Linked DNA regions of Sus scrofa. The main gene of each other region encodes a partner of the protein of the gene in region 2 in a complex. Links are inferred from orthologs where the notes say so. Each region holds a gene or a part of one and is shown on either strand. Other genes may lie near its edges. The genes, in order: SMARCA5 and MYBBP1A.

Region 1 (4,598 bases), on a different chromosome or scaffold from region 2:
AGACATTTGAAAGTACTTTTTATTTCTTTAATTTTTTTATTTTTTATTGTCTTTTTTGTCTCTTTAGGGCTGCACTCGTGGCACATGGAGGTTCCCAGGCTAGGGGTCTAATTGGAGCTGTTGCCGCCAGCCTACACCACAGCCATAGTTAACTCCAGATCTGAGACGTGTCTGCAACCTACACAACAACTCCTGGCATTGCCGGATCCTTAACCCACTGAGCAAGGCCAGGGGGATCGAACCTGCAACCTCATGATTCCTAGTCAGATTCGTTTCCACTACGCAATGACGGGAACTCCTAAAATATTTTTTTAAGTTGTGAAACAGATTGTCAGATACGTTACACATGTATGCAGAAATCTAGTTTTTAACCAGTGAACTTCAATGATTTCTAAATTCAGTTAAGGAAAAAGAAGAGACTGAAGGTATTTTTTTTTTTAAGACCCCCCCCCCAAAATGAAAAAAAGAAAAACCACCCTATAATGTAAGGGAAAAAACAAAAACTAAAACTATTCAGTGAAAAGGTGGATAAAACTACTGATATTCCTATACTGAGAAGGTAAAAGATAACTAAATCATTCTTTAATAAATAAAAATTGTCAAACATCTTTTTTTAAGACTATGACAGGGCAAGATACGTGGGGAAATGGTCAGCTTCAGAGCCAGACCTGGGTTCTATCACAGGTTCTACTTACCAGAAGACTCAATTTTCTCATTTGGCAAATAAAAATACCACTGACTTCATATGGTCCTTGTTATATCCTTAATAATCATAGTTAAACTTTTATTCCACTTTAACTTTAAAAATAGCAACTGAAGCCAAAATATTCAGTTTAGGCTTTAAATTATTCTGCTTTCTGATTCTGTAACACCCCTAGTGAGACTGTGCTTGTTATTCCAAAATTTGAATGACAGCCCCCTTTGAGAAGCTGAGAACAGCAAAACATCAATTTGTTCAGAACGGTATATTTACATACAATTGCTTTCAATGTCAGACTTTCAAACCCCCTTAGGCCAGGAAGCAGGAATCCACGTTAACCCTGATAATTCAAAAAACGATTTAAAACCTAAAGAGAAAAATAGGCAACACCAGACAGGAATTTGAAACAAATCTCAAGACACCGAAAACTACAGAATACCAGAAGTCCTATTCTATCGAGGTCCACCTTCACCTAAAAGTTCTTCCAAAAACTAACGTGTTACTTCATCCTAGACTAGACCGCTGGGGCCCAAATAAAACTACTGCGCCAAATGCTTCAATGGTAAACCGCGCTACCATTTCCTTATTGCGTTAATTCTGCAGCAATGTTCATTTTTAAAGCAGTATTACCTTAGCTCAATCTATCTAAGGATGGAAAAGTCCCAGAAATCTCTGGCCTGCGACTATAACATATATCAAAACAGATCGAAAGCCAAGAATAAAATTTGGAAGGAGCAAGCAATCACTTTGTTCCCAGACATCGCAAAGCCTTGGAGCACACCCAAGAGACCCGCCTGGCTGTTCCCCAATCTTTCCACCCCCGCAGTATTGTCACCATCCCCTGGCCGGCCAACCCCAGCCCAGAAGGCAGGCTCCGCGGCAGGGAGGGGTACCAATTCTCAAATACAGGCCAATGCCCTACAGGAGTGCTGGTCTGAAAACCCCCAACCCCCCCCCAACCCCTGACTCACTAAATCATTCATCCTTCCATCCATCACCCCACCCCCAAATTAGATGGGGGTTCCAGACAGCTGCCGCTGCCTTGGTCGCTTCCCTCCCAATGGAACAGCGCCTGGGAGGAGCCTCCTCTCCCTTCACAGGAGCAGCTGCGCCCCGCTTATCCCCACTGCGCCCTCAGCCATCCAGCTCTCGCCATTGTTTCTGCCCAGAACAGATACCGCCCCCGCAAGGACCGGGATGAAGAAAAGGAGGCCCAAATCCTCGGATGCGCTGCTTTTAAATGCCTTCCCCACCCCGTCCGTCTACCCTCGTTCCTAAAGGGAAATCTCCCTCCCCCTCCCCCCAGGTTTAGTGGAAACTAAAATCGAGATTCAGAGATGGGCGAGGGAATTATGGGAGCCTCACTTAAAAAAAAAAGTCGGCAGATCCGTCTCGGCCTCAGTAATCAAGAACATGTGTCTAATAAGAGCGTTTGAGGATTTGGCAAGGTTCGCGAAAGAGACAAATAACGCAAATATGAGGTGCCAGAGACCCAGCTGAGTCTACTTGCATAGGTAAGCAGAAGGGCGCAAGGGAGAGCATCATTTCGGATCATCCAAGGGTCTGAGGCCGAGTTTGGGTGCAGAGGAGTGAAGTTCGGCTTCGCGTTTTATCACCAATACACAGCAGAGGGAACCAGTTCCTCCTCCCTATCCCGCCCTCTCCCCATGCCACAGGCCGTCCTTACCTCCATCTCGGAGTCCGTGGGGCCGGCGCCGGCCGCGGAGGGAGCCGCCGGGACGCCGAAGCCCTCGGGGCCGCCTTTGTTGCTGTTGTTGCTCCCGCTACAGGCGGCGGAGGATGCGGGCTTGGAAGGCGCGCTCTCGGGAGGCGGGGGTGGCGGAGGGTCGGCCGCGGACGACATGATGTTCCGTCTGCGTCACCCGCTGCTGCCAGAGGCCCGGCCCAGCAGGGATGAGGAGGAGGCCTAGGCCTGGGTGGCTACGTCGCAGTGAGCCGATGGAGGAGCGGAAGGACCACCCGAATGCTTCCTCTCCGCAGCTCGGCGACGAGCCCAAGCCAGGCCCAGGAGCCTCCCCCTCTAGCTGTCCTCCTCTTCCTCCCGGCTCTGGGTTCGACCGGCGCTTTACCTCACGGCGGGAATCACGTCGACGAGGGTGGGCGGGGCCACCCGGGTCACTGAGGTCAGAGAAGGCAGGCCGATTTACAGGAGGGCGGAGAGTTGGGGGAAAAAGAAAGGAAAGCAAGAAGGACCAAGACCAGGAACTAGCCTAGCCGCCTCCTCTTCTTCCTCTGGTAGATATCAGGTATCTCGCCAGCATCCAGGTCTACTACCTACGCCACCGACTTTCAACACTCGCGAGATTGATAGTTAGCTAAGAGACCGGGGTTTCAAAGTACGCATGCGCATTCTCTACTCCAAGCTCTTGGCCACGCCCCCTGTGCCCCTACGGGCTCTAGGGCGATGAGTGGGCGGGGCCTCAAAGGAGGGCTCGGAGACGTAAGTTTGTGCGTCGGTTTCCGGGCGTGACGCCACCGCAGTCTTACAGTCGTTCTTAACGGCTCGCTGTGCCGGGTCGCTGTGCTTCCCCAGCTTGGCAGTAATCCCAGCGCTGCTCGAAAAATTGCCCGGGTCTTGCGCCGCCTGCTGCAGCGTAGAGGCTTCTGCAGGCCTCTCTTTTACCGCCTCCGCTTATTGGCGTGACGCCACAGAGTTGACAATGATACGGTTTTCCCAGTTGACGTCTCACTGTTTTGTTGTCTAAGAAGAGTGCCTGTTAGTGTGATTTTTGTTTGTTTTGTCATCCTTATGTTAGCTATATGATTGATCATTTCTAAATTCCTTCTTCGGTAGAGTTAGACGATATTTCCTCTAAGTTTACATGCTAAAAGTAAGCAAACTGCGCCAACCACCATGTGAGAAACAAGAGTAATTAGCAGATAAGAAAGAGAGGTAATAGGTTATATCTTTTCCTCAACCACCAAATATTAAATAAAAACAGACATTCTTCTAAAAAAGTGTTACAAGTAATCACTGGTTTGTACATTGCTTTACGCTATGTTCAACACAGCCTTTTGCATCCACCTACTGCAGAATTTAAGCACATGGTGTTCTATTTGACAGCAAATCTGCATACTGCACTAAATTGTTATTTGCCCTGCATAGGCTCTTACTCATCTTTATATCCCCATATCCAATATTCTATTAGTACGTATTGAATAAAGGAGACAAACTTGTCAAGAGTCAAGGTTTGACCAAACCATTGACTATGCTGAATTACAAACAGAAGGGATTTCCTTTGAATATTTAACCTGCAAACTTTTAACCAATTCAATGATAATTCTTTGAGATCTGGAAGAATGTTCCCCAGCCTATTAGAAATGCCCTGTCTGAGACTCTAGGGAACCCCCAAGGATAGATAAAAAGAAAACTATATAAATGATGATCATCATCGTCTTTATATGTACTTGAGAAATGCTAGCACAATATAGTCCAACATTGAAAGTTTGATTTTAAAACTGTTGTATACCACAAAGTGAATTATTATTAACTTGTAACAACCAGACTGTAGAAAAAAGTTTATTATATAGTAGTAACTAAAAAATTTTAACAGTTCAAAAATATAGATAAAACTTTGGAAGGATAGTCCTAAAATTATTGAAAGTGATTGTTGTTGATGTATATTACCTAATTCATTTTTGTTTCTCTTTTTTTATTTTTCTAAAATGAGTTTGTGTATTATTATTTATTTTATTTTATTTTTTTGCTTTTTAGGGCTGCACCCTGGGTATGTGGAGTTCCCAGGCTAGGGGTCCAATTGGAGCTACAGCTGCCAGCCTACACCATAGCAATGCAGAATCAGAGCCATGTCTGTGACCTACCCAACAGTTCACAGCAAGGCCAGATCCTTAACCTGCTGAGCAAGGCCAGATATTG
Region 2 (4,411 bases):
ACAGCGGCTTGGTGCAGGATCTTTGTGAAAGCACCAAGTCCTAACCACTAAACCACCAGGGAACTCCCAGGACCAGCTTGCTTCTTATACAAGGAGCTCCAAGTGAAGAGTTGGGATTCGAACTCCGGGTCCTTCTGGCTCTGTGGCTGGGGCTGTAAAGAAAGCCTTGGCCTGGGACGTGCCAGTCCCTGCCTCTTCCCCAACAGCAAAGGATTCTAGGTCCTAGTCCGCCTCCATTTCCCAAGCAGAGTGGTGGGGACCCCCCGAAGGGGCCAGCTCCGACCCAGACAATAATGGCCAACAGGTTTCACCCTCTTGCTACCCAATATGGCAGCCACTGGCCCCACATGGACACAGCACTTAGAATTCGCTATTCTGAATGGACACGTGCTGTCAGTGTAAAATGCATACCGGGTTTTGGAGACTTAACATGAGAGGAACCATAAAATACCTCTACAGCTTTTTTCTTTTTTTAAGGGCTGTTCCCGGGCCAGGGGTCAAAATGGAGCTGCAGCTACTGGCCTATAGATCTTTTTCGAAAAAAATTTTATGGCCGCCATCTGTGTGTGGCATATGGAAGTTCCCATGCCAGGGATTGAAACCGAGCCACAGCTGTGGCAAGCCAGGTCTTTTAATCCACTGCACCGGGCTGGGGAACAAACCTGCACCTCCGCAGGAACTCGAGCTGCTACAGCCAGATTCTTAATCCTCTGTGCCATGGTGGGAACTCCTCAACTACCTCCGTACCTTTTTTTTTTTTTTTGTCCTTTGTATTTTTAGGGCCACACCCGCAGCATATGGAGATTCCCAGGCTCGGGGTCTAATTGGAGCTACACCTGCCAGCCTACACCACAACTCACAGCAATGCCGGATCCTTAACCCACTGAGCAAGGCCAGGGACCAAACCTGCACCCTCATGGTTCCTAGTTGGATTCATTTCCACTGAGCCAGGACACTGGAACGACTCCTCTGTAACTTTTTATACCGATTACAGACTAAAGTGATACTGCAGATATACTAGGTTAAATAAAACATGCTACTCAACTATACTTGTTTCTTTTTACTTTTTAAACTTAGTTACTACAAAGTGTCACAGTGCACATTTATGTATCTGTGGACAGTCCTGCTTCCAGGCATTAACTTGAGTCTTCCCCACGTTCTGGAACAGGCTGCGCTATCAATCAGAGGCCCCAAAGCTGGTGAGCCAGTACCTCAGAAAGGATGTCCACCAGGGCCTTCTGGGGCTGCTCCTGCAGGTGGTTGTAGTGCTGAGCCAGGACTTGCAGCAGCTTCACCGACTTCATCAGCACCTCCGAGTCCTGGGACCCCCCCAGAAGGGGACAGGGTGTCAACAGGGCTCTGCCACTCCTCCAACTCCCAAGCTAGTCCACACGCGCCCTGGGATCCCCAAGGCTCTTACCTTCACCAGCCTGCCTGACTGAAAGAGGGCTAGCACCCCAAACAGGTTTGCAAAGAGAGCTGGTCTCATCATCCCCTGGAAAAGGATTCCAGGCACTGGTGAGAAGGGCCCAAGCGCTCCCCACCCCGGGGCTGCCGACTTCCCTGGGGCCACTAATTCTCACCTTCTTCACCTTCTGCAGGTTATACTTCTCCTGTATCTGCTGCAAGATGCTGCAGAGAGGGATGTCTTCAAAAGACTGTAACAGCTGCCAGGAGGAAGAGAGGGGCTCAGGGGAGCGGCCCAGCCACATCCCTCAGACCTCAACCTCCTCCCACTTCTCCCTTCAACTTCTGCCCAGAGTCCATGGGCCCCTGCTCCCATCCAAAGGACGCCTCAAAAGCTGCCTACGCCCCACCCCATGCTGGGCAGTGCTGACGATGGAACACTGCAGTGAATGGAGAGAAATCTTGCCTCCCTGTTTCAGAAAGTACTTCCTTTAGCCCCTGGACTGTGCCCCGAGATCCCCGAGACATTCTGCCCCAGAGCCTGCTGAGCTCCCCCCAGGCTGATCCACAAGGACTGGGTGGCCTATAATTAGCCAAGTGGGGGGGGCGGACCCTGAACCCTAAAAAGGTAAGTGAACCCACTCCAAAGCTTACTGCCCACAGTAAATGTACCTTGGTGGTTGGTGAACCCATGTACTCAAAAGCAAACTCACCCTCCCACTCCACCTGCCTGGGCGTCTCTGCAGAAAGATCTTGCTCACACACTCTCTCCACGTCCACGTGGGGACACCCTCCATTAGCTCCGACGCCACCCCAACAACCTCTCAGCAGCCACTTCCCCCGTATCTGCCCTCCTCACTCCCCACCGCTCCGAGTAGGATGGCTGGCCTCCTCCAGGGAGCCACCACCTCACCTGTGCTAGGGCCAGACTGTAGCAGGGCCGGGCTGTTTCACGTCCGACCCCGAGCCCGGTGATTAGGCGCTTCAGGGCGTACTTCATCTCGGACGATCCCTGAGGAACCAAGCACATCCCCAGGTGCACCAGGGAAAAGACGCGTCAGGCACCCGCCCATCCTCGCGCTTCGGCGCGCATTCGCCTCGGCCTCCAGGTTCGCGACTCCATGACCCCAGTCCCGAGTCCTGGGGCCCGCCGCCATATTTTTGCCGGGATCTACGCAGCTTCCTGCCCCCAAGCCCCGCAGATTCCTGCCCCAGGCCCCGCCACCACACCTTTGGCCTTGCGCGCAGATACTCCAGCAGCTTCTCCGTGGCCTCAAGCCGCGTCTCCTGCTGCGGCTTCGCAATGTCCCAGAAGAAGTCCAAGAACTCGCGGCTGTGCTTCAGCAGACCATGACGGTCGGCAGGCCCGGCGCCCGTCTTCGGGACCTCCACCGGAGACACAGGCTCAGCGACGTCCATACTCTCCGTCTCCGCCATGCTCGTGGAACACGTGGGACCTGAAGACTGCCTCTTCCGGGTCAGGTCGCGGCGCGTGCGCACTGGGTTGGGTCGGCTGGGGGCGGAGCCGGTTGGGGGCGGGGGAAAGGGCGGGGCCGGGCCGGGCCGGGGGCGGCTGGGCCCTTCCGCGCTCACTCAGGGAGCTCAGGAGTTTGGATTTTATTCTGATTGTAATAGGAAGTCATTGGAGGGTTTTATGCAGGGACAAGTCTTGATCCTATCCATACTTTTAGCAGACTAGTCTTCTTTGTGTGGGGGATGGATTGCAGGAGAGCAGGGGTGGAAGCAGGAAGACCAGTTGCACAGTGGTGGATTGGACCAAGGTAATATGAGAAAATTCCAGCTAATTTGGAGCTGGTAGAAGGTGATGAAAAAGAGAAGGATGATAGGTTTGGGGCCAAAATAAGTGGGTAGATTGTGAGAGTTCCCCTTGTAGCTCAGTGGCTTAAGAATCTGACTAATATCCGTGAGGATGCAGGTTTGGTCCCTGGCCTCATCCAATGGGTTAAGGATCTGGTGTTGCCGAAAGCGGAGGCTTTAAGTCACAGACACATCTTGGATCTGACGTTGCTGTGGCTGTGATGTAGACCGGCAGCTGCAGCTCCCTCCGATTTGACCCCTGTCCTGGGAACTTCCATATTCTGGAGGTGTGGCCCCTAAAAAAAGAAAAACAAAGAAAGTGGGTAGACTGTGATATCATTTACTGAGCTGGGGGAACTAGTGTTTGTGGGGGGAGCAAGGAGGGAGAGGTGGTGGGATCAAAAGTCCTCTTAGATCAGAGATACCGTTTACAGTGCAGGAGAGGAGAGCTACTGGCCACCCCTATTTCTTGGCTTGACAAGCTGTCTCTAGAGGGTTATAGTTCAGAGAGACCCCAGCCCTTAGGGAGGCAGGGAGGGGAGGGCCTTGGCTACCCAGATCCGGCCCCTTTTGTGGCCCCCGGGGCACCTCCTACTCACCCTCTCAACCCCTCCCTCTGCTGTCTGTTTCAGAAAATGTGAATAAGCAGTTGGGAGTTTCCTTTGTGGTGCTAGCGGTTAACGAATCTGACTAGGAACCATGAGGTTGCAGGTTCGATCCCTGGCCTTGCTCGGTGGGTTGGGGATCCGGTGTTGCCGTGAGCTGTGGTGTAGGTTGCAGACGCTGCTCGGATCCCACGTTGCTGTGGCTCTGGCGTAGGCCGGCAGCTGCAGCTCCGATTTGACCTCTAGCCTGGGAACGTCCATATGCTGCGGGAGCAGCCCTAGAAAAGGCAAAAAGACAAAAAGAAAAAAAAGAAAATGTGAATAAGCAGTTTACTTTGTACACATGGTGCCTCAGGAGGCAGAAGGTAAGCAGAACAGGGGGGGAGCAAAAAATCACCAGGCACCAGCTCTGCATCTGTGGGCGAAGCCTGGACCACAGGCACCTCAAAAGCTGATGTGAAATTAACCAAGCAGCAGGAAGGGCACATGAGAGCCAGGAGACTTGATCTTTATTTTGTTCCCAGCCCTCTCGAGGGAGATTAGCAGCTGTGGCCTGAAGGGGAGAATGGACATGCCAGCAA

What was found.
Region 1: MYBBP1A (region 2) and SMARCA5 share a complex: the UniProt entries of both Homo sapiens proteins name them as parts of the B-WICH complex. The link is inferred for Sus scrofa from reciprocal best matches to the Homo sapiens genes MYBBP1A and SMARCA5.

Annotation. Positions count from the first base shown.
Region 1 is NC_010450.4:84,221,860-84,226,457, forward strand, and holds the start of SMARCA5 (SWI/SNF-related matrix-associated actin-dependent regulator of chromatin subfamily A member 5), read right to left. Parts: upstream 3,085-4,598; 5' UTR 2,565-3,084; coding exon 2,388-2,564; intron 1-2,387. UniProt on the Homo sapiens protein: ATPase that possesses intrinsic ATP-dependent nucleosome-remodeling activity.
Region 2 is NC_010454.4:50,503,184-50,507,594, forward strand, and holds the start of MYBBP1A (myb-binding protein 1A), read right to left. Parts: upstream 2,894-4,411; 5' UTR 2,845-2,893; coding exon 2,638-2,844; intron 2,420-2,637; coding exon 2,321-2,419; intron 1,668-2,320; coding exon 1,584-1,667; intron 1,496-1,583; coding exon 1,421-1,495; intron 1,320-1,420; coding exon 1,212-1,319; intron 1-1,211. UniProt on the Homo sapiens protein: May activate or repress transcription via interactions with sequence specific DNA-binding proteins. Repression may be mediated at least in part by histone deacetylase activity (HDAC activity).